Linked DNA regions of Oryctolagus cuniculus. The protein of the gene in region 3 purifies or fractionates together with the protein of the main gene of each other region. This does not show direct contact. Links are inferred from orthologs where the notes say so. Each region holds a gene or a part of one and is shown on either strand. Other genes may lie near its edges.

Region 1 (7,119 bases), on a different chromosome or scaffold from region 3:
AATATTGTTTAAAAATAAAAACAACCTCACTGAAGTTCTTTTGAAGTTTTAAGAAACAGGCTGAATGTTATTAGCCATATTTTAAAAAGTTTGCATTTGCAAGTAAGATTGCATAATGGGATTGAGAAGTTTCATGTACTGACAATCCTCATGACGACCTAGAAGTCCAGCATTCCTAGAGAGGGCCCGTGGGATTCCCGCATTCCAAAGCAGACACAAGAAACTGCAGGACACATCCAGAGCTATTCTTTAGGATCTCAAGATACTCAAATTGGCATTTTCTGCTCAGCTGTAACAAAGACATTATTTGGAATCTCCACCTCTTGGAGCTAGAACATTGACATGATCAAGAAACGAAAAAAGTTGACTTACAGTCATTCCTTCAGTGCAAGGACAAACATAAGCCTTTGACAGGACATGTCTGATGGGATGCTGGTTCTGCTGTTGTGTTTTAAGTAGCACTTTAGCATCTTGTTTTACAAAACTGTCTACATCTGACAGTTGGCAGACAGAGGGGAAAAAAGGAATTTGTGCATGGACTTCAATAAGAACTGAACTTGAGTTCGTGATGGCCATGGCACTGTACTCTGACTCAAGGCACTTCTTGAGCACTATCATTACAGCAGAATTCAGGCCTTCACCTTGTCCTGTAAGGAACACAAAGGGCCAGTGCTTTTGGTACAACTCCCTTTGCCATGCTACCACCATATACCACGCCACTTCTCATCCACGGCTAAAGTCAAAGCAGGACAACAGCAGGAGCATCCCAACCCTCATCTACTCAATCTCAAAACTTGGAGGCCCTTCCCTTGCGACATCCAGCAACTGAAGGAAACTGAAGTATATCTGACAATTTCAATCAACCATTGTATTCCAGGTCTCAAAAGCAGCGAGCTCTCCAGTCAAAAGGCAGGGGAGGGTGGCACTGGCCTCTGACAGAGAGACCAGCAGGAAGGCAAGCAGACTGGGAGAAACAGAGCTCACACTTTGAAGGAAGAACTCGAGAAGCCAATGCCCCACTGACCTGGGACACTGACAGAATCAATATGGACAGGTTATTTGTGAAGCTGGATCTTAGAAGGAGAGCATCTTAGGACAGGCAATGAAAACAAAGATCTGTGTTTCTACATGACAAAACCATTATTCTAGTCAAATGTATCTACAGTTATGGCCACAGCAATCATCCATCTCATCTTTTAAGTTACTTTCATTTTCTGTATTAGCCAAATGGGGTTTATCAAACCATCCCTAGCCAAAAAAAAAAAAAAAAAAAGAATTAGCTGCAATAATCTGTAAACTCATTTTAGAACTAAATTCCAACTTAAAAAAAAAAAAATTCCCTGATTCATCAGAAGTACATTTTATCCACTTAAGCAAAAATAGTATCCTGTAACTCAATATTTGATTTAATAAAGAATATCTTCAGCAAAAGCTGATTATTGTCTATGAAAGTAAGAAATCATGCAATAAACTTTAATCAGATAACTTTTGGTATGTTCTTAAAATGATATATAAAAATAGTTTTACTGATAAAATGCATTGGTCCCCTGGATTTCATAAAGCAGATCTGGCAGGCTTAGAAATGGCCAAAGAAAAAAAAAGTACCTGATTACAAAATTAGAGATTATTAAACAAGTAACAGAACACAATTAGAAAAACAAACCTCCCAAACTTACTCATTTGTTTCAACAAAATGGTAGCTACAGAAAAAAACCTCAAATTTGTAGTTGAAATATTAACTCTAAGCACATTTTCCCATGTTTTTAAACACATTAAATTGACACTAAATTCCTATGTGATATGTCACTCATTCTAAAATTACTTTGGCTTTAAGATCCAATAGTCTTTTAAATTCATTGTAAGAGATAAGACATTATCAGAACACAACTTATTCAGCATAAATGGCCACCCTCTCTTCAGACCAAACCTGTAGGGTTATTCTGCCCCTTCCATGGGGACTGGCAGCACTACAGAGTCAGTCTGGCCTCACAGCTGCCATAGCTTCTCTCTCCTTCAGAATAAGATCACAGTGATAAAAAGGACTAGGACAACTGTAAAAGCCCTGCAAGAACTTTACAGCACTGGGAGTAAAATCCAGTTATTAGAAACTAGTTTCAACTTGACGTGAGAAGACCATGACAAGTCTGCTTTAACCATATAATCTGACCAAAACTAGTTGTAAATGGAGAATCTAAATTCAGAATGTTCTTTAGCTAACACCTCTCCCCAGCCTCACGGGTGCACTGAATTCATGACATAACCATGCGAGTGACAAAACTGCAGAATCTGCACACAGAAGGAAAGACCGAACGAAAGCTGCCTTCCTTGAAGTTTACTGAGACCTCAAAACTACACTACCTTTAACCTCAGTCATAGAGAAACCCCCAAACATTACTCCTACAAGACAAGCGTGACTCTCACACACCCTGCTGCCTAGTCACATTAACTACCTTTGCCTTCCTAATAAAAGGCCTATTATTTAGCATTGACCATACCCTAATTTTAAATGTAATCCATTTCTTAAAAAAATAACACTGTCTTTGATCAGATAAAGAAAAAATGGCTTACAGAATACCACACAACTTTTCACAAGCAGCTAGACAAACTTTCCCTTTTAGAAAAATTAGTCTGTACGCTACAAACTTTAAGTTATTAAAGTACTATATGCATCTAGAGTGCCACTTGAATTTCTTAAAGTATATTTAGACAACACAATTAAAATGCAAATGCATGATATGAGAATATTCAACCACAACCATGATAGCAATTTGCTAATTTACTGCCACTTCATTCCTTTAGTGGTTTAAGCACATTTTTGTAGGAGAAAGGCATTTCCAAAATGAATACCGAATGACTTACCACAAAAATAATTTCAGAAACAAACAAAAAAGGTTTGGGTCACCTAGATAAGTAAACTTTTTGAATCTGAACACTCCAGGTTCCAACACATGTAAGGAATTCTACTCATTTCCATTAGAAAGACACAGAAGTGGCACTTACTGGTATAGCACAATCCCAGTGTGAAGGCATGTAATGTTCTGAAAACGTGAAAGAACAATAATAGTATACAAAATACAGTTGCATAAATTATGTTCCTCACTACTATATGAGGTCATTTTTAGACTCAAGATAAGAGTTGTAAAGTATTAGCTTTAAGATCCTGAAAAAGCACAGAGCAGTACATTCAAAGTCTGAATTAAGGAAACTCTTTAGTGGTTCAGAATCCGCTGAGAATGTACTAACCAGGAGTAAATCGCGTTCTTTAGTGAGAAATGTCTTCCGGAACTCGGGAACCCAGCTCCTTTACCCTTAAAGATGACCTTCAGCGCAGCAGAGTTACCTAAATTTAAGACCAGCAATCATCTTTTAAAAAACCAGTTTTGTTAATAAAAAATAAAGGTAGACTACACAACACTTTGTAACGTCCTGGCAGAGAAGCGCTCATAGTGCACAGAAAGGACCCACGTGGCTGTTTCCTGGGACGCTTTGCATGGACCTTACTGTCCTGTGGCAAAAGGAAGCGATGTCCTTCTGTTCCCTCTCAGTGAGGTAGAACAAATGACCTCCCAAACTGAAACCCAGGAGCAGAGCCGAAGAAAAAGTAGAGTTCAGGCAAAGCTGTAGAATTACATTTTGATGCCTTCCTGCTGACTGAGCTGTGACAATGTTTTCTTAATCCGCAAAGCTGTGAGCCGAGCTGCTCCATTGGCATACCAACATTCTCTCATAATTTTAGCCATTACTCGCAAGGCCTACAAGAAAATACAGAAAGAAAAAAAAAAGAAGTTGAAGCATGCCCCACTTTCCATTGATTTGGGTAAGAATCTTTTCCTGTAAATTTTCATTTAAAATGACATATATACAGGTTTGTTTTTTTTTTAAATGTAAGTGTTATCTGTAATTGCCAATCACTAGAAATGACTTAAATTTTGGTTGATGGCATACTGTTGTCAGCCACTGTTGTCAGAACCAGATGGACAGGTGTGACGTACCTAGCAGACCTGAAAAAGCTGAATCCTTAACCAGAGCTGGGCAAGGCCATGCAGGAGCTTAACTCACATTGATCCTAGCCCCAAAGCGAGACAGTAACTGCACAGACCAATCCTAGGGTAAAAACAGGAGGACAAACTCAAAGAGCGGAGTGGGGCCCCAGATACCTTCCTCCACCAACTTCACCCCCACAGGAAACCAGAGGTTGTTATGTTTTGTTTTTAATCTGAGAGGGTAACAAGACTTATGGCTTGAGGAACACAAGGGTAGAAGTTTCATACTGAAAACATACTGAGTGCTAAGATGGTGAGCTTTCTGCCCAAAACACAGGCAGCAACTGCATGCTTCTCCAGGTAGGAGACCGGAAGAGTCTTCTCTGGAAAATCAGAGCAGCCCAAGAGCAAGACTCCAGTGATTTCCCAGGTGACCCGGGAGACTGCCCTGCGTTCCCCAGTCCACACTGCTGCTGCACCTGCACCAGTTTCCCAGCACTTCCTGAGCCACGTTTTCACCCAGGGACAGAATAAGTTTGTCACACATGTGAGGACAACCATGTGAAATGCAGAAGCTGAAAGAGAACAGAGCAAACTGGAGAACACAGAAGCTATATACAAAGCAGAACATATCAAAAACCTATCAGTAAGATCCTCAAAGAAATAAAATACTAGTGTATTTATTGTTGATGGGCCTTGCTAAGCCACATAATAAATAAATTATTGTAAAATACATGAACTAGGAGATAGTGGTGAATATTAAAGGGAGAAATAATTTAGGGAAGGAGATCAAATATGCTAGGGAAAGAGACGGCATCTCAAACAGGTACACAGGCAATGTCTCACTGACAGAGTAACATCTAGCAGAGACACAAAAGAGGGAACAAGTGAACAAATCAAGAAACAGAGCTGAGATCCAGGAAGGAGCATAAAGAGGCAAAGAGAATTCGAGTGTGAAGCTGCAGAGCTGGTCAAGAGCAGCCAGTTCAGACTGGAAGTGGTGGGAAGACTTGGAGGAGCCGTCTTTAGGAGCTGTTTCACATTCACATTCTTGATATGTTTCAGTTACCGAAAGGAGATTTATAAAACCCTAGGAAAGTCAAACATTGAATTGGTGATGAATACATAGAAAACTAACCAAATTGAGAAAAAATAAAAATGACAGTGATGGCATTAATTCAGCATGTGATAGTAATTGCAAATGTGTTCTTAATGTTAACTGCTAACTTTTCTTCATGCTTAGAAGCCTTAAAAGCCATCTGTTTAATAGCAATCTGCTCCAAATATTAAATGAGTATATGAATGAAGTTTCTACTTTGAAGTATCCACATCAAATCTGTTAAACTATGTTGCATGTGGATTCTTTGAGCATGCTGTTCTGTATTCCCTGGGGCCTTGATACTTGATTTTGTTGGAAGCAGCAAGCTCTCTCCATATCCCAGATCTGCAGTGTTTCACCTTATTTTAAGATGGAAAATCGGTTACTGAAGTGACCAGCTTTCCACTCTGCAAAACATCACATGTAGAAGGACAGGCCCTGCCTCAACCAATATTACAATAGTGACAGCTAGCAATTAAGGACAGGTTGTGTACAGTTTGAATTACAAATTCTTTAAATTCACAACTAAGAACATACCTCAAAAACATTTTCTAAGACCTGGATTGAGAAGCTCACACTACTAAATAGAAAGCACTTTCTCAAAATTCCTGGTTTAATGGTTATCCAGGCAATCAGGTGAACACAAAACAAACTCATTGGAAGTACCTTTGGATAATTTTATCCAAGTTCCAGCAAAGTGACTTGTCCAAAGTCAGCCTCGGAGCCGGCACTGTGGTACAGTGGGTAAAGCCGCTGCCTGCATGCCTGCATCCCATATGGGTGCCGGTGCAAGTCCTGGCTGCTCCATTTCTGATCCAGCTCTCTGCTATGGCCTGGGAAAGCTGTACAAGACGGCCTAAGTCCTTGGGCCCCTGCACCCACATGGTAGACCCAGAAGAAGCTCCTGGCTTCAGATCTGTGCAGCTCTGGCCATTGTGGCCAGTTGAACAGTGAACTAGCAGATGGAAGACCGACCTCTCTCTCTCTCTGCCTCTCCTTCTCTCTCTGTATTAACTCTTTCAAATAAATAAATAAATCTTTAAAAAACAAAATAAACAAAAATAAAGCCTGTGCATGCAGCGGGTGCTCAGGCTGCAAACGTCCTATTCCCTGTCCAGCACTTACCACATCACTCTGGGCTTGTCTGGCTGAAGGGAAACAGTGACTGACAAGGCCGATGCCTAAGCTCACTGGGCGGACCTAAACAACCTTGGACTCACTAATGGCCACTGCAAGTGCTCCAGGGCCCTTTCAGTGTGTTGTGGAAAGCAAATTGCTTCATTTTTATCTACTGCATAAAGTGCTATGAAAAGGAAAGAAAAAAGAGAATTCTTGTCCATTTTCCTTAAGAAAAAGTAGCTAATTTTCACTTTGCAACTAAGCAAATGCAGTTCAGAAATTTGCCTAGTATCAAAAAGAAATACTCACTTCACAGCTCTGCCATCTGTTTGGAATATTTGGCCTTAACTTCTGTTCACAAACAACTTTTCTCATTTCTTCAACTGATGGATCAGAAGGTACAAGATCATAATAAGGCAGCTGGTAATCCTCATGAATTCCTAGATTGGTTAAAAAAAATACAAACTATTTTGAAAAATTTATTCAGCTAATGCCAAACCATTAAAAGGATCACCCAAAGGGCCTATTACAGTGCCCAGGACTCACAGCTTTCTCTGCTCCACATCTGCATCAACAAGCTCCGCCCCTGCCCGTCTGTTCTGGGCTCACATCATGAAACTCAACACTGCCATGAGATCAGCACGGGCTTTTTTCAATGATGGTTAACTATGAGCTGTGATAACCAGATTGCCATTTTCGCCTAGAAGGCTACTGTGCAGCAAATGAGATTTTCTATTCTAGCCTCTCATTCAGTACACATGTGTGCTCAGCTGAGGATGTGAATCCTACAGAGTGCCAGTCCCTTTGTCGGCATGCAACTGTCAACTACAAGTCCTATTTGCCACTATACAGAGCCTCTGTCCCTCGCTGCCTCAAAAACCTGAGTCTATAGCTCTCGATCAATCCTGGGCTCCAAGT
Region 2 (7,930 bases), on a different chromosome or scaffold from region 3:
CACGAGAGGTGCATTTGGCAACCATGACTGATAACCGTGTTTACTTATTTATTTTCCGTCTAAGCCACTTCAATTGTTAAGTTCTGAAACAGCAGAGTTAGGGACTCCCGTTCATCTTGCTCTGTTACCTCCCTAAGCCAGCAACTGTTCCAGGCACAAAGACAACAAAAATGAACCAGGAGGGCTCCTACAGGTAACCCCGTAAATACTAGTGGTGATGTGATGCGACACTTCCCAGTAACTTTCACTAAACTCCAAATATTCAGCCAGACAAACGCAGCCTTAAGACAGAATGGAAGGAGAAGGAACCCGGAAAATAGGTGACACATCCCCGGGCCGGAAACTTCACGGCTAACCCGCACCCTGGCTAACCTGCACCCTGACAGCTCCACAAGGAGCAGGGAGCCACCCGTCTGCTTGCAAACAGCACTGGGGCTTGGTGTCCAGGATGGAGAACCCAGCGGGCAGAGACAACAGAGTGACGGGCAGACACGGCACCTTGGAAGCCCAGGCTCCCGTTACACCACGCAGGAGCTGGAAAATCCCGGGGAGGCAGCAGTCCAGTGTGGGTATTGCAACCTGGCCACAAGGCAGGGCCTGACTCAGGTGTGAGAACCAGAGCCCAGCACAGCCAGTGCAGGTGGAACTGACGGGTTCCAAGCGGCCCGCCCACATTGGAGGCCCAGATCACAAAGCGGCTTTCTCTTTATGAACAGAGGCAAAGGAGATAAGACCCTCTGACATCAACTCCTACTGTAACACACGACACAAGAACTCAAGCCAAGGAGGTAGGGTTCCGGAGTTAACGTTCACTCCCGCTCTGGGCAAGGACTGACCAGTCAGCAATAAAGATTTCAAAAATGAAAACACAAGATGCACTTCAGTATTCTAATTTAACCTTCAAAACTAGAGAGGTTCCGAGACACGGCGCTGGTCCACCTCGACACCCCATGCTCCCAGGTTATCATGGGAACAGCCTGCAATGCAATCCAACTCACGCTCCAAATGCAACAAGCGGGCGTGCACGGGCCGTGCCGGGAGCAGCAGCGGCGGCGTCTCCTCGGCTCCTCCTTGCTTACTGATTCATATTTTGGTAGCAAGGTTACAATTAGCTCACCGGTGTAGAATAAACCTATTTATAACACAGCAGTCCACCTGAAAGACACAATCCTTTGACAAGGCTGCTGCAGGGACAGAGTGCAGCTTCACCCCCAGCCCACGCACACAGCAGGTTCCCAAGGTCCTGGGGGGGGGGGGGTTGGAGGGATGTGCAGCCTCCGCCCGGCTTCCCTTCCCGCCCTGCGTGCAGTCACTCCTCTGGCCACCTCTCGGCCTCCATGTTCTTATGTAACATTTACATAGGGCCATAAACATACCCGGAGTTGCGTAAGACTTACAACGTTGCCAAACCAATGAAGCCTAAAGCAGGTCACTCCCTCCAGACCTGCTTTGATTAGCACCCACGGTGGCAGAGAGGAATTTGAGGAGACCTGAACCCGGTCCGCAGAAGCAGCACAAAGGTAGAAAACGCACCACAAGGCCATGTGCTGCCTCTATCAATCAGAGCGTGCTCCCCTGCCCCCTGAGATAAAGTCACCCCACAGCCCTTATTCACTGAAGTCAAAAACTGCGTCTAAAAATACCTCCACCAACTGGCCCTCAGTCAGCAGCCCCACACCCGGCCTGAGGACAGCCACACAGCGCCGCACCAGGAGGACCACTGAGGCAGGCGCCCAAGGCTTGGCCAGTTGGTCAAGGGCCGCCTGGAAAGGAGCAAAGTTCCCGGACTGAAAAGCAGTCCCCTCCTCCTCTGCTTCCTCCTCCTCCTCCTGCCTCTAACCTTTAACCAGGGTGGCCATTTTAACAGGTTTTATCACATCAGCTCCGGGAGCTGTCCTAACAAAACTCCAGAGAGGGTCTCTGCTCCTCCACAGGAGCTGGCTTCCGCCCTGTTTCCAAATCCACGGCCACGCAACAAAATCACAGGGCTTGGCTTCAAGTTGGATTTTTAGTCAACTCAAAAGGAACCTCCAATGTCTGTCCCTCTGCTTTTGTCCTGAGACATCGAAGTCCTGTTCTCCTTTTACTAACTCAATGTTAACCACTAAGGTAAACATTCCAAAGCCAGGTCTTAACAACACGATATACCTATCAAATGGATGCTATTTCTAGCCTGAAACTCATTCTCTGTATCACCTTGGCCTTTCGCTGTGTCCCAGGTAATTCATTAATTAATAGAAACACCTATCCTTCTACTGCTTTCCCTCCCCCTCCAAGCTGTGGGCATCGGAGCTGCCGGGCTCTGTCCCTCTCCCAGACCATGTAGGGGAGCACAGGAAAGGCAGGGCATGGAGAAAAAAAATCAACTTCTTGTCATTGCACAGCCTCTACTTTCCCAGAAGTGACGTGTGACTTTAAGCCTTTTGCAACAGTGGTCTCAGCAGCGTGCACTACTGGCAACTCCATGTGTCCCGGAAAAAAAAAATATAGTGTCTGGCCAAGAAGTTGAAAGGCCCTTGAGAATGTTTGCTGGACACACAACCTAATTTCCCAGTTGCCAAAAACAGAAAGGAGCTCCCTCTTACGCCCACCCACCCTCACCCCAACAAATGTCCATTGTAGGCAAGTTACCAAAAAAATGAACTCTGCCCCATTCACAACCAGTGGGATTATCAATTAAACACTCTTAACAACAACAAGAGAAACCCCACAGCCACTCCGCCAAACCAGCAGGGAAATAAATGATTGTTAAAAATCCTGGGGGTATGATGGGCAGGATAAAAATTCCAATGCTAGGAATTTAAGGATTTATTCACACACACACACACACACACACCACACACACCAGACAAACCTGAAGGCTTGAGTCTCCTTATTCTCCCCACCTCACTTCCTATACCAGGTTATACATCCCAAATGCACGGCCCATAATAAGCCCCCCATGCTTCCCCTTCCCTGCAAACATCCTTATTCATGGAAATCGCTATCAGGCAACAAAGGTGCACCTTTACGGTGTTTATAAGACCTGTGGAGGTTACCTATGCCCCAAGGACGGGCGAGGTGCTTACCGGGAGCATTAGCCAGTGAACAAAGACCCCACTGCAGAGCCTATACCGCCCGGAACAAACATCAAAGCCCGAGATAATGAACTTGTTTTCTGAGACGCCAAAGTGGCGTCTCCTTGATGGTCTGTAGCCACCTGAGAACACGAACACACGCGCGCGCGCGCGCACACACACACACACACACACACACACACACACATACACACACGGCCCCCAGCGCCTGGCAGGTTAGGGGGATGCTGAGAAGTCAAAGCAGCAGGCTTCCTATCCGGGGCTGGTCTCCCCCAGACCCATCTGTGGGACAACAATCAGTTCAACCTATTGAAATCCAAATATAACCTTCACCTGCTACCCCAATGCCAAAACGCATTTGAGCCGACTCTCCGAAAAGGGAAGCAGGGTTAGGGTTTCGGGGCCTCTCTGCAAACAGCACAGCCACTAGAATGTCCCCCCCACCCCCACCCCAGGAAGGTGCCCACCTTCAGGGCGGCCAGGGTGGGTACAGCATCAGGCAGCAGAGGCTGTGGGAAGGAAATTAAGTGGTGACCAAGGCGAGGCACACCGGCGATGGCCGTGGGGGTGGTGGCCAGCTTCTAGGGTTTCACCTGACAGGCATCGGCAGAGAGATCCACTGAATGGGCCCCCTGGGGTGGGGTGGGGTGGGGTGGGGGAGGCCAGGAGGAAAGCAAATACAGCCAGGATCAGAGCAGCCGCCGGGAGCCAGGCTTCACAAGGCTACCAGATTCCAGAGCCAAGCCTGGGAGAGGTGTAGGGGCCTGTTCCTCCCACTTGCTCCCCACTGCGTCGGCCCGGCGTGTGGGCTGCGAGGGTCGGGGGGTGCCCCGCTGAACTCCAGGGACGGTGCTCGGGGGAAATGGGATTCCCTTTCCCAGAACATCAGGCAAGGAGGGGACGAGCCACACCAAGTGCAGGGGGCTCAAGGAAAGGTCAGAGACCCCCTCCCCTCCAGCCCGCTGGGCGTGAGGACCCTCTCCACACCAGGATACCTCGGCGGAGAGCCAAGACCCCCCACGGCCCGAACCCCCCAATCTTGGCGGGAGAAACAGGCGCCCCCCCACCCAGGAGCATCTGGAGCGAAGATACACTGCCCCCCGCCCCCTGGACACGCTGAAGGGCAGAAGCCACGGCGCTCCCTATCTCGCAGGCGCCGGCCCCAGGGGTCCCCAGCGCCGCACGCTGAGGGTGCCAGGGGGCGCGACCCCCTGAGCGCTGCCCGGACCCAGCTCCGCCTGGAGGAGAGCTCGGGTCCCCGGGGCCCGGCCGAGCTCGGGCCGCGGCGGGGCAGCCGCGCCTCGGAGGTCGGGGGGGAAGAGGAGGAGGCCGAGCGAGGGTCACCCCGGACACCTCGCGCCCCCCGCCCGGCCATATTGTGCGCGTGGGGAGGGGGGCGCGCCGTCGCCCGGGGGCCGCAGCTCCAGGCCTCGCCCTCGCCCGGCCCTCTGCAGCCCAGCCCCCGCCCCCACCCCAGGACTCACCCTGGATCCCCCGGGGCCCGGACCCGCCGCTGCCCGCGAGCAGGAGGACGACGAGGGGGAAGAAGGAGGAGGCTCCGGCCGACTCCGCCATAGTAACCGCCGCCGCCGCAGCCCAGCAGCGCCCAGCGCGCGCGCGCGCGCGCCCCCGGCGCCTCCCCTCCTCCCGCGGCCCCGCTCCCGCCTCCCGCTCCTCCGCCCGGCGCCGGCACGTGCGCTCCCGGCGGAGCCGGCGCGCGCGCGCGCCCCCGAAAGGGCGGGGCCGGGGTGCGCGCGGGCGCCCGCCTTAAAGGGGAGTGTCCCTGTTAAAGGGGTGGGCGGGGTTCGCGCCTCGGCCAGCCTCGCGGAGCCGTGCGGCGCCCGGCGCGGAGGAGGCCGGAGCCGGACGTGCAGCCTCCGCCCCTCTGCTGCACCCCACGCAGCGCCTGGTTACCTTATCAGCGCCGATCCCCTCCCCCCAACCGGGCCCTGGGCGAGCTGCGGCTGGTGCGCGGTCGGAGCCCGGAGCCGCCCGGCGTGGCCCCAGGGCGGGGAGAGGGTCCTCGCTCGCTACCCTCGCCCCCTGCAATGCCGCGTGCGTGCACGCTCCTTCCATAACACAGCAAGGCTTTGCAAATGATGCAGCCCAGGCGTGGTGGGGGCTGGGCGCAGCCGCCGGCGCTGTCCTCCTGGCCGCGAGCGTCCTGTCTACCGAGAGCCTCTCGCTAGCCATTCCCCTTTGCCCGGTATTCGCCGGTGTCCGTGTCCGGGAAGTCGTAAGGGGAGACGACGAATGTTTATGCCGAATGTCAACTTGCCCATTTATCCTTGCGAGCACTGGACACCGCGTAGGCGCTAATCGAAGCCCGTTAAATTATGAGCCGTCTGGGAGATGGAACACGAGTTATGATTTTAAAATCATGGTTGCAAAAACTAATGGCGTGAGATACTGTTAAAGGCGTAAGTGGATTACATAACTACTCAGAGTGCTGTTCAAATTTGGTGATACTATATATTTGCATGGAAAAAAGACTGGAAGGATATTACCCAACGTTATCAGTAGTTACTGCCAGGAAGAATTCTTTTCTTTTCCCTTAAACGTTTGGGCGATTTCCAAATTTGTGCTAAATACATGTCACTTTCAGATTTAGACAAAGATGCTTATGGAAGCTAGGCGGAAGAAGAGTTCACTCCCTCAGAGGCAAGGGGGTCGGAGATGGTGAACAGGGCAGGGTCTCCCAGGCTCCTGATAACGAAGCTTGGGCAAGCTTGTAGCTTGGCTAAACCCAAGTTCCCTGGCTGTGAGCCGGACGGGCTGGAGCAAGTTTCTCAGGTGGACTCTTGCTGGACTCTTCGTCTTACAAGTTGTCATCAAACTGAAGCACCATCCTCTCCCTGGGCAGAAAAACAAGACGAGAGGCACACACACAATGCACACACGGTCACACGTGCCCAGGCACTGCCAAGTGGATCCCGCAGCTGGACAAATAAACACCTTATTTTTATTCTGCTCTCTTTCCCGCCCTCCCCCCCTCACCTCCAATAGGCACCTCCCACCTCCTGAGCATCTAACTGGTCTCCCCAGGCATACTCTGTCCACACCGGGTCTCCCAGCTGCAGTGCACACAGCTAGTTCCCCAGGGCTTCCTTCCCGAAGCACCACCAACTGGGTAGCTTAAAATAACAGAAACGTGTTCTCTCACAGCTCTGGAGGCTGGAAATCTGAGACCACAGTGTTGGCAGGGCCACTGCTCTCTCTGAAGAGCCGAGGGAAGAATCCTTTCTCGCCTCTTCCAGCTCGTGGTGGTACCCTGAATCCTTGCTCTTCTTTGGTTTGTGGAAACAAAGCTCCCATCTCTGCCTCTTGGGTCTTCTCAGGGCTGCCTGCTCTCTGAGTCTGTGTCTCTGGTCCCATCTCTCTCTTCTCTCTCTCTCTCTCTCTGATTTCAGAAGGACACCAGTCATTTAGGGCCCACCTTAATCCAGTCGGCGGGCATTCCAGTAATCTTTGATTACCTCCACAAAGAGCTTGAGGTCTTCTTTGAAGGTTCTGGGTAGATGTGAGTGTAGGAGGGACACTGTTTAACAGATACAATCAGCAAGCTGTCTCTGTGTTTGGGAAGGGAAAACAGGTCCTCCCCTCCCCTTGCAAGGGGCAGAGACTCTCCTTTGTGTCTTGCTCAGTAAGGGTTGCCACTATGTTGCCACTGTGGCTACAATAACAGATGCACCAGCAGTAAAGCTAAGGTTGCTTTACCGCTAGGCAGCAAAGCCAGCCACGAGCCTCAAGGCACCAGGCCAAATTCTGGGTCTGGGGATCAAATGCCATCTCCAGTAGCTCCCTTAATAGCGTTTGACTTTGAGCAAGTTGTTTTCTCTCCCTAAGCCTCAATGCACTCATCTGTGGAATGGAGCTGAGCACAATTCTGTGTCATAGAGATGTGAGAATTGCTTCAGATACTCTATGGAAGAGACCAGCACTGTGGCATAGTAGGTTAAGCTGCCGCCTATGGTACAGCCATTCTATATGGGTTCTGGTTTGAGTCCTGGCTGCTCCACTTCCAATCCAGCTCCCTGCTGAAGGCCTGGAAAAGCAGCAGAAGATGGCCCAAGTGCCTGGGCCCCTGAGCCGCATGGGAGACCCAGAAGAAGCTCCTGGCTCCTGGATTCAGATCAGCCCAACTCCAGTCATTGCAGCCATTTGGGGAGTGAACCAGCAGATGGAAGACATCCCTCTCTGTCTCTCCCTCTCTCTCTAACTCTGCCTCTCAAATAAATAAATCTTTTAGAAAAAGATATTCTAGGGAAAGCATTTAGTCCAGTCTCTGACATGCAGGAAATGAAAGAACAGCTGTTATGATTATTGGCCCTTGGTCTTCACTGTGATCCTGAGTGGTGCCCACTTTATGCTTGAGGTGACTGAGACCTAGAGAAACAGCTTGCCAAGCTCACGTGGAACTGATCATTAAAGCCACAGCCCACTGCCCTGTGCTTTCTGCAACATCTCAAACTTTTTCCAGGGTCAGGGCTTCAGGATTGGATGCAGGTGGGAAAGAAGACTTGACAGGAAGGGGTGAGTTCTATCCTGCACACACACACACACCACTCACCTGTGTTTGGGGCATCTCCTCCTGGAGATGAGGCCCCTTCCCTTCCAGGTTCCGGGGTGCACAAGGACAAACGTCCCAGTCCACGCCTGTGCCCCATGCCCCTTCCCACAGGGCAAGCTTCGCCCACCCCTCCTCACCATCCCTGAAGTCCTCAGCAAGGCATCCATTTTTGTTTTTAAGATTTATTTATTTATTTCAAAGGCAGAGTTACAGAGACGTGGAGAGAGAGAGACAGAGAGATCTTCCATCCAATGGTTCATTCCCCAAATGGTTGCAACAGCTG
Region 3 (7,904 bases):
CAGAAACCAGGAGCTTCTTCCTGCTCTCTCACGCGGGTGCAGGGGCCCGCCCAAGGACTTAGGCCATCTTCTACTGATTTCCCAGGCCATAGTAGAGAGCTGGATTGGAAGAGGAGCAGCTGAGCCTGGAACCAGTGCCCGAATGGGATGGCGACACTGCAGGCAGCAGCTTTACTCGCCACGCCACAGTGCTGGACCCCTCAAATAAATTTTCAAAATGTCTTTAAAAAGGCCTGGAAAAGTGAAGAGGGGACCTGCATTAGGAGACCAAGGTCAAAATGCCAGACTAACAAAGGCCTTTGGAGGCTGGGTGGGCCACCAGGGTTCCCCAGCCCGTGCAGGGAGAGCTCAGCTGGCAGCCCCGTCCAGCGCAGGACTTTCCCACCAGCAAACACAGAGGACACAGGAAACACAGCGCCCACGGAACCCCCACCCCAGCATCCCCGCTTCACAAAGTGAGGTCTGGTTCCCAACAGCAAATTCTCACTCCTGCAGACGCAGCCACCCTGGCCCCGGGTGCAGCCGTGCCCAACACTCCAGCAGCAAGCGCGCTGGGACCACACAGCACCCAGGTGGACCAAGTCCAGGCCCTCCCAGCCACAGCAACACGGAGCTCCCAGGTTTCCACCCCCAGCAGTGCCCCAGCCCCCTTCCCACGGCCTCTTCAGAAAAGGGAGTCCCTTGGTTGTGCAACTGGTTAAGATTTTAACAGCTGGCCACTGTAACACCCTACGCCCGCTCCGCCTAAGTAACCCAAGACCAAAAATTCAACCCAGCGCTCAGGACCTTAAGAATCTAAGTGGCTGATAGGAATTCCCAGGCCCCACACTCTGCCATGCAAGGTGGAGACACAAACCTGGGGTGGCATCCCTCCCCACGGTGTCTGACCACAGCCGCCCGCCGCAGAAGCAGCCCCGGGCGGGCGGCCCCTCCAAGCCCTAGATCTGGCCGTCCTGTGCTCTGTCCAGACCATTTCTCTCAGGGGGGCTTTCTCTGTTGCCACCCCCCAGGCTCTCACACCACAGCGCCTTCCTTCTGTCCCTCACTTTTGTTTTGCTTGAAACAAAACGATGCGGGTGAGTAAGCGACGCTGTGAGCTTCCGACTGGCAGGTTAATCACTTCCTATTGGCCCATCAGCAACCTTCTCTCCCCCTTGGAAATGGCACATTCCTGTCTTTGTGGCTTCTCTGTTTACACACATTTTGCTACCTAATGTCAACACTTGCTAATGAATAAATATATCACTCCACTCACCGAAAATGAGGTCCCGGCCTGGCAGAAGGACTGCTAAGACAGCAAGACCCACCAGAACGTGACCTTGCTGCTCTATGGCTTGGGGAGGCTTCTGGGAACACCATCCTCCCTTCTGATGGAAACCTACAGCTAGGAATGCACAGGGAAAACCAAAAATGGGCCGCCATCGTCCCTGGAAGACCTAACCTTAACCTCCTGCAGGAATTCTTGATGCTTGAAGCCACAGTCCTCGGGGAAGCGGAGCTTGGTCACTCCAGTTAAGGTTTGTTACAAACACAGGGAGTTGGTTATCTCATTAATGACCATTTATCTGGTGTTTTGTAAATCGAAAGCAAAATATCACATGCTCCACAGGCCCCTTATTAGACAGGCACCAGGCAAGCAGCAACGCCTTCCCAGCTTGGGGGAGCTGGTGCAGTCCCAGGAGGGCTGGCTCCGCGCACGGGGCTTCGGTTACACGTTCATTAAAGTATTTAATGTATGACAACGCCCCGGCAAAACTTTTAATTAGTGGGGGGAACGGCCCAACAGCCAAAATGCATGAGGCAGAAGGACCTGGAGAATTCCAGGACCTAAACGGCGCCCAGCCCTTCGCTCCTCCCGCGCCAGACCCTTGGCAAAACCAACCATGGCACCAGTGTGCGCCGGTGCACAGGCACAGACACCAGTTACAGTCTGTACTCTCCAGCAGGTGACTCTGCCTGGAAGAAGGGGCTGCAGGCTGCCAGCCTGTCTCCGGGGTCACCCCCCAGGTCAGTTCTGCTAACCCTGTCGCCTGGCACCGCAGCACCAAAGGTTGGGACCCCTGTGTCGCCAGCCAGAAATCAAACGCGGACAACCACAGCAGGGCTGATGCCAATCTCAAATGGGTTTCTGCCCTGGCCGGGGGCCCTCCCGAGACAAACCAACAGGCAGGCAGAGGTACCCTAAACACTTTCATGACCAGACCAAGGATTCCCAGGAAAAAAAAGGACAGGGCTGACTTGTATGTGACTGGGGCAGGGGGCACCTACTCCCCTCTGGCTTCTGGAACTTCTTAAATGCACCACCATCCTATCCTAGACAGGCCAAACTCGGCACCTCCATTCCCTCAAACCAGCCCTGATTCCTTGGGCACTCGCCACAGTCTCTGAAGGTTCCCATCACCCTGCTCTGCTTAGTCCCCAAGCCACTTCTTTGTGGCTTAAAGCATCCGGGTATTAAAATCCAACCAGCTTCAGAGGCAGAGGGCAAATATACGTGAAAATGGAACCCAAGGTAAAGCTTATCTAGAAGAGGTCTTTGCAAAGAAAGAAAGAAAAAAAAAAAAGGCAAAAAACCAGCCACACTAACACAAAGTCACCAAACTTCCAGCACAGGAAACCCAGGTGCCACTTGGGGCGAGGCCAGCACCTCCCCAAGGCTGCTGTCTGGACACAAAACACCCCGCTTCTAGCAGAATAGGAAAAGCATTTTTTCCAAGCCATCTACTCACCAGTTGGTTTGAGAAAATCCATCGGGTATCTGGAGTAAGGAGGAGGGGGAGACTCTGGAATTAAAAAGAGGAAATAAAGGCCGGGCCATGAGAAAGAGAGATAGAAACTTATGATAACAGAGGCATTCTTTCGGCCCCACTGTTTGTCTTAGCTGTGGGGGTTGGAGGCAGGGCTGCGGGGCGGTGATTGCCTTGATATTTAGCTGTCAGATAAACAAAAGAGGCCGCCTGGCGCCAGCCTCGGCGCTCCGCTCCTCCACGTCTGCGGCGGCCGCCGCCGCCGCGCTCGCCCAGCCGGGCTGGAAACCACCAGCTCGGCCGCGGCTCGGCCGGGGCCGCGCGCCTCGCGGCTCCCCGGGTGGAGGGGGGACAGCCCGGCCCCGAACCCTAGACCCCCATCCCACCTCCCGCCCCAGCCCCTGCGAGGGAGGCACGGGACTCCCCATTCCCAGCCCAGGGGGAAGACGCGCCCCAAGCGTGCTGGTGAGCTTGGGGGGCACCTCGTCCCAGGCACCTTAACCTTTGAAAGAAAAGGTGGGGTGGGGGGAGAACGCAGGCAAGTGGGAAGGCCAAAGGGAAGGGGCTCGGGAGCTCTGTCGGGGGAGCCCAGGCCCCAGCTCCGGGACGGGCAGCAACGTCACCAATGCGCTGGGATAGAGCATTCCAGACCCAGTTCTGCGCCCGTTTGGTGCCAGAGAAAGGAGAAGGCGGGGGACACTCGACTTCAGGCCTCTAGAACGGCGCAGCCCAGGGCGCCATCCCAGCCGGGCCTCCCCTGCTAACCCGAGCCAGGGCAACATCTGGGCCGCCCGTGCCCAGTGTCTCCGCGGCCGCCAAAAGCAGCTCGGCCCTCCCTCTCGCTTCTCCCAGCCTTCCTTGGCGGGCTTGGCCCGGATCCAACTCGGCCACACACCTCAGCGCCTTTCCGGGTGCGGGGGAGGCGTGAGCCCCACTTGTCTCCGCACCCGGGTGCCGATGCGGAAGTGAGGACGTCTTTTTAACCGCCCATCAGTACAGTGTGTGGTGGAGCTGCGGCCACAGGGCCCCTGGGGGCGCCGGACAGACCTGGGAGGGAACCCCCAGGGAAAGCCCTCGGAGCCCGCCCCGGCCCCCCGTGTCTCTCTCCGCCCGGGAGGTGACTCGCGGCGCCGCGCGCCGGTCGCGGGGCGGGAGCAACTCCTCACCTAGTTCGCAGAGTCGGCTAAGGTGATGGGGGTTGCAGCACACCAGTTCGGGGTTGATCTTCCCGTAAGATTCACAGCAACACAGCCTCTTGACTTCCGAGGAATGCCTGAGATCCGGCCACCTGAACACTTTGCACAGCAGAAGGGGCAGCGAGTAGGACGAGGGCGGCTGCGCGGGCTGCGCGCTGGCGGGCGCCCCCGGGCCCGGCCTGCAGTCCAGGCGGCCGGGCAGCAGGAGGCACGCGGTGCGCGTCCCGCCCCGGGACTCCACGGCCTGGAGCAGCAGCTCCAGCTGCCGCTCCTTCAGTTTCTTGAGCACCGAGTGCGTGAGCGCCTTCAGATCCGCCTCGGCGCCCCCGGCCGCGCCGACGCCCGCGGCCGGCGGGTGGGGGTGGTGGTGACCTTTGGCACCTCGGACCGCCTTGCCCAGGCAGCAGCCAGCCCTGCCCGCGCCGCCGCCACCGGCCCCATGCGCCCGGCCGTCCGTCGCCCCTTCTCCCCGCAGCTCGCCTCCGCCCGCACCCTCCTCCCCGTCCTCGCCGCCGGGCGCACGGCTCCTCCAGAGACGCCGGACGAGCGCAGATCGTTTGGTCCTGAACATGCGGGGCGAGGAGGCGAGGAGAAAAGTCGTTTGCCGGCTAAGGAGCGAACATGACCTCCGCACACCATGAAGAACTCGGGCGCCGAGTTGAGGCAGCAGGCGCAGGCGACAGCAGCAGCAGCAGCAGGGGCCCAGGCAGGAGCGGCGGCGGCCCGAGGGGCGCTCCGTGGCATGCGCCAGTCTCCCGGAGGCCGGGGCGCGCGCGGGGGCCCGGGGGCGCCCGCCGGGGCTCGGGGGCCTGCGCTCCGGCTGCCCCACCCCGCGCGGCCCGCGCCCTGCGCGGCTCTCGGGCCCCGGCGCGCCCCGGAGGAACGCGGCCGCCGCTTCCCTGGGGGCGGCCGAGCCTGCCCCCGTCGGCGCCTCCCCAGCGAGCGGCCCCCCCGCGGCGGCTCCCGAGTGTCGGGCTCGCCAGCCTCGGCTTCCTACATGGAAGATCCGCGGGGGCAGAAACCGAAAGGCGCCCGGCGAGGCTGCCCGAGCGAGCAAAGAGCCTCGTTCCCCCTTGCTAAGCAACTTAATTTGGGGGTGGGGAGAAGCAGGCAATTATAAAAAAAAAAAAAAAAAAAAGCAGGCACGCGATTTATTTTTTTCCTCTATATCCTTAGTAACCGGATCTCCTCGAATTCCGTGCGCACGAAGGCTCGGGGGAGGGGGCCGAGCGGACTTCACCCCGCATGAGCCGTCTGGCGAAACGTGGAGGTTCTCGCCGAACCTCAGAAGCAAATATGCAAAAGCCCCAGATGAAAACCACCAGCTCGTCCGCCCGCAGCCGGGGCTTGGGAGGAGAAAATGTTTACAAAGTGGAACAAGACGCTTGCGGGGTGCAGAGGCGCATCCACGAGCTACATGCCCGCTCCGTTCCTCGCAGAGCCTCGTTGGTCTTCCTCTCCGTTTCTTCTGCCTCCCCCCGAAAGATCGTGTAATTTTTTTTTTTTTAATCCACAGAAAGGTCGGGCTAGGCTGCTTCAATCCTGCGCATCCGGGTGTCCCAGGGGAGTCTCTGGTCTTTCCTCCTGCGGTCCCGGGGGCCCAGGTTCTCGGCGGGGACTTCCTCGGGGCTGGCGGGGGCGCAGGGGCAGAAGATGCTGCCGCTGCGGCTGCGGCGGCGGCGGCGACTGCGCCCAGCGGGGCTGACAGCGCGGGGGAACGCGGCACGGCGGCCACCGCGGGCCCCCGGTGGGTCGCACGCTCCTGCCCCCCCGGGCACAAGCTGCCGGCTAGCGCGGGGGCCGCTGGCGCCCCCTCCCCTGGCCGTGGCTGGCCGCCGGGGCTCCCCGCATGGGCTGCTCGCCCCGAGCCGGCTTCGGCGGCGGGAGGCCCCGGTGTCCTCTCGCCGCCTCCTCTGAGACTCCTCTCGTCGCAGCCGGCTGCCTCCTTGTCCCCCGTCCGCCCTCTCTCGGCGCTCGGGTCCTGCTGCCGCCTCCGGGGGCTCTCCGCGGCGCGCTCAGGGGCTCCGGGGCCGGGCGCTCGGCGGCTCGGCGCCGGCGGGCTGGCTCCGTCTCAGGCAGCTCTCTCCGGCGCGGCTCCCGGACCGAGCACGGCGCCCGGCTGGCTCGGCTGGCGCGGCTCGGGGACAGGATCCTCCGTGCGCCGAGCTGCAAGCGAGTGTGCCCGGGGCTCGCCGCCTCCCGCAAGGCCTCCGGCCCCCGCCCCCTTCCCTCCCCCTTCTCCCCCCTTCCCTCCCCCGCCCCGGCCGCCGCCGCCTCCTCCTCCCCGCCCCCCCGCCCGGCCCTCGGCTCGGCTGGTTCCACTGCGCAGTGGCGCGCCCGGCTCCGGCCTCGTCACGTGGCCGTCTAGACACCCTGTCGCTTTAAAAAAAAAAAAAAGCGATTGTGTTTCGCAAACAACAGATCGGGTTTCTAAAAGCTATTTCTCCCCCCCGCCCGCCACCGCCACCCCCTCCTGGGTCTGCAGCAGGGGGACCAATGTGGGGGGGCTGGGGGGGTGGAGAGGCAGGGGCCAGCGGGGCGCCCAGATCCGACCGAGACCCGGCTGGCGCGGGGGAGGCTGTGTGGACGAGCCGAGACGCCGGGCGGGACGAGCCGGTCGCTGGCCCGACCTGGACCGAGCCGAGCTGCGCCGGGGCCGTCCCGCGCGCGCTCGCCCGCGCGCTCCATTCATTCGTTTTGTTTGAAAGGCGCTGGCGGCCGAGCCCTGGCCGCGCCGGAGGGAGAGGGGTGTAGAGCGCCGCCTGTTCGAAAGACATTCACACCGGGCTGGAGCGGGGCCTGGGAAGTGCGCGCTGCAGGGAACAGCCGGGCCGCCGGGGGCGGGAGGCGGCGCGAGCGTGACCTCAGCGGCGGCCCGCTCCCGCTCCGGGCTCCGGTTTCCAGGACCGCCTGGAGAAGCGTGTCTTGTGCACGGCTGTGGAATGCGTTTGGCTGGCTGACGGGCCGCGAGGGGCGGCATCCCGGCGGGGGGCGGGGGCGGGGGCTCGCCCGCGGGCCGCCCGCAGGTTTCCTCCCGGCCCGGAAGGCTTCGGACAGCCGCCCGCGCCCCCGGCCCGGGGAGGTCCCCTGCGAGCAGACCCGCCTGGAGCGTTCGCTTGCGCGCGGAGCCTGTCCCTGCGCGCCTCTCGGCCGCGCAGCTCTCAAGCGCTCCGGGTCCGAGCTCCCCTGCACCCCGGGCTCCCCAGAGACAGACCCCCTGCTGGCTGGTGGCCGCAGGGCCCCGGCGGGGTGATGGGGCAGAGGACGTGCGCAGGCTTCGAGGAGGCCGCTAGTTGGCACGGCGATCTAGCCTCGCCTCTTATTCACTGAAATAGAATTTTTTTTTTTTAATCATTGCCGTGACATCAGCACAGCCCTGAAACTCCTTGGGGATTTTTAAGTATCTTTAGAGAAGGTGATTGACGTGTACTATTTTCATCTCCCCAGCTACATTGTATTTTCTTAAAAGGAAAAGCCCGAGATGAGTTTAGACACCTTTGTAGCTCAACCCCGCTCCCCTCCAGCCTTCCAAAAAGTTTCTAATGCGCAAAAACGGCTCATCATTTAGCAATCAACACTTGTGGGACAGAGGGGTTAAGCCTGGGCGAGTCCCTCAGCATCCCATAGGAGCACCCCTTAGAGTCCTGGCTGTTTCACTTCCCATTCAGCTCCCTGCTAATGCACCTGGGAAAGCACCTTAGATGGCCCAAGTGCTTGGGTCCCTGCACCCACGAGGAAGACCTGGATGGAGATCCTGGCTCCCAGCTTCTTCATGGCCCAGCACCCCGCCCCCACACCCCTGTTGCCATTTGGGGAGTGAACCACTAGATGGAAGATGTGTGTGTGTGTCTCCCTCTCTCACTGTAACTGTCTTTCAAGTAAATAAATAAATCTTTAAAAAGCACACACTTAGGGCTTAAGGGGATGTTTGGACTGGCCTCCGCAGAGCAGCTTTGGTGGT

What was found.
Region 1: the proteins of SMAD7 (region 3) and TGFBR1 purify together in Homo sapiens (affinity purification with western blotting; 19 studies listed by BioGRID). This does not show direct contact. The link is inferred for Oryctolagus cuniculus from reciprocal best matches to the Homo sapiens genes SMAD7 and TGFBR1.
Region 2: the proteins of SMAD7 (region 3) and ACVR1B purify together in Homo sapiens (affinity purification with western blotting; 3 studies listed by BioGRID and IntAct, with this or other methods). This does not show direct contact. The link is inferred for Oryctolagus cuniculus from reciprocal best matches to the Homo sapiens genes SMAD7 and ACVR1B.

The regions. Positions count from the first base shown.
Region 1 is NC_091432.1:202,806,932-202,814,050, reverse strand, and holds part of TGFBR1 (TGF-beta receptor type-1), read right to left. Parts: intron 6,642-7,119; coding exon 6,511-6,641; intron 3,753-6,510; coding exon 3,627-3,752; 3' UTR 1-3,626. UniProt on the Homo sapiens protein: Transmembrane serine/threonine kinase forming with the TGF-beta type II serine/threonine kinase receptor, TGFBR2, the non-promiscuous receptor for the TGF-beta cytokines TGFB1, TGFB2 and TGFB3.
Region 2 is NC_091442.1:55,282,448-55,290,377, reverse strand, and holds the start of ACVR1B (activin receptor type-1B), read right to left. Parts: upstream 4,760-7,930; 5' UTR 4,653-4,759; coding exon 4,562-4,652; intron 3,587-4,561; exon of another isoform or gene 3,545-3,586; intron 2,556-3,544; exon of another isoform or gene 1,644-2,555; intron 1-1,643. UniProt on the Homo sapiens protein: Transmembrane serine/threonine kinase activin type-1 receptor forming an activin receptor complex with activin receptor type-2 (ACVR2A or ACVR2B).
Region 3 is NC_091441.1:28,914,477-28,922,380, reverse strand, and holds the start of SMAD7 (mothers against decapentaplegic homolog 7), read right to left. Parts: upstream 4,515-7,904; coding exon 3,914-4,514; intron 2,784-3,913; coding exon 2,730-2,783; intron 1-2,729. UniProt on the Homo sapiens protein: Antagonist of signaling by TGF-beta (transforming growth factor) type 1 receptor superfamily members; has been shown to inhibit TGF-beta (Transforming growth factor) and activin signaling by associating with their receptors thus preventing SMAD2 access.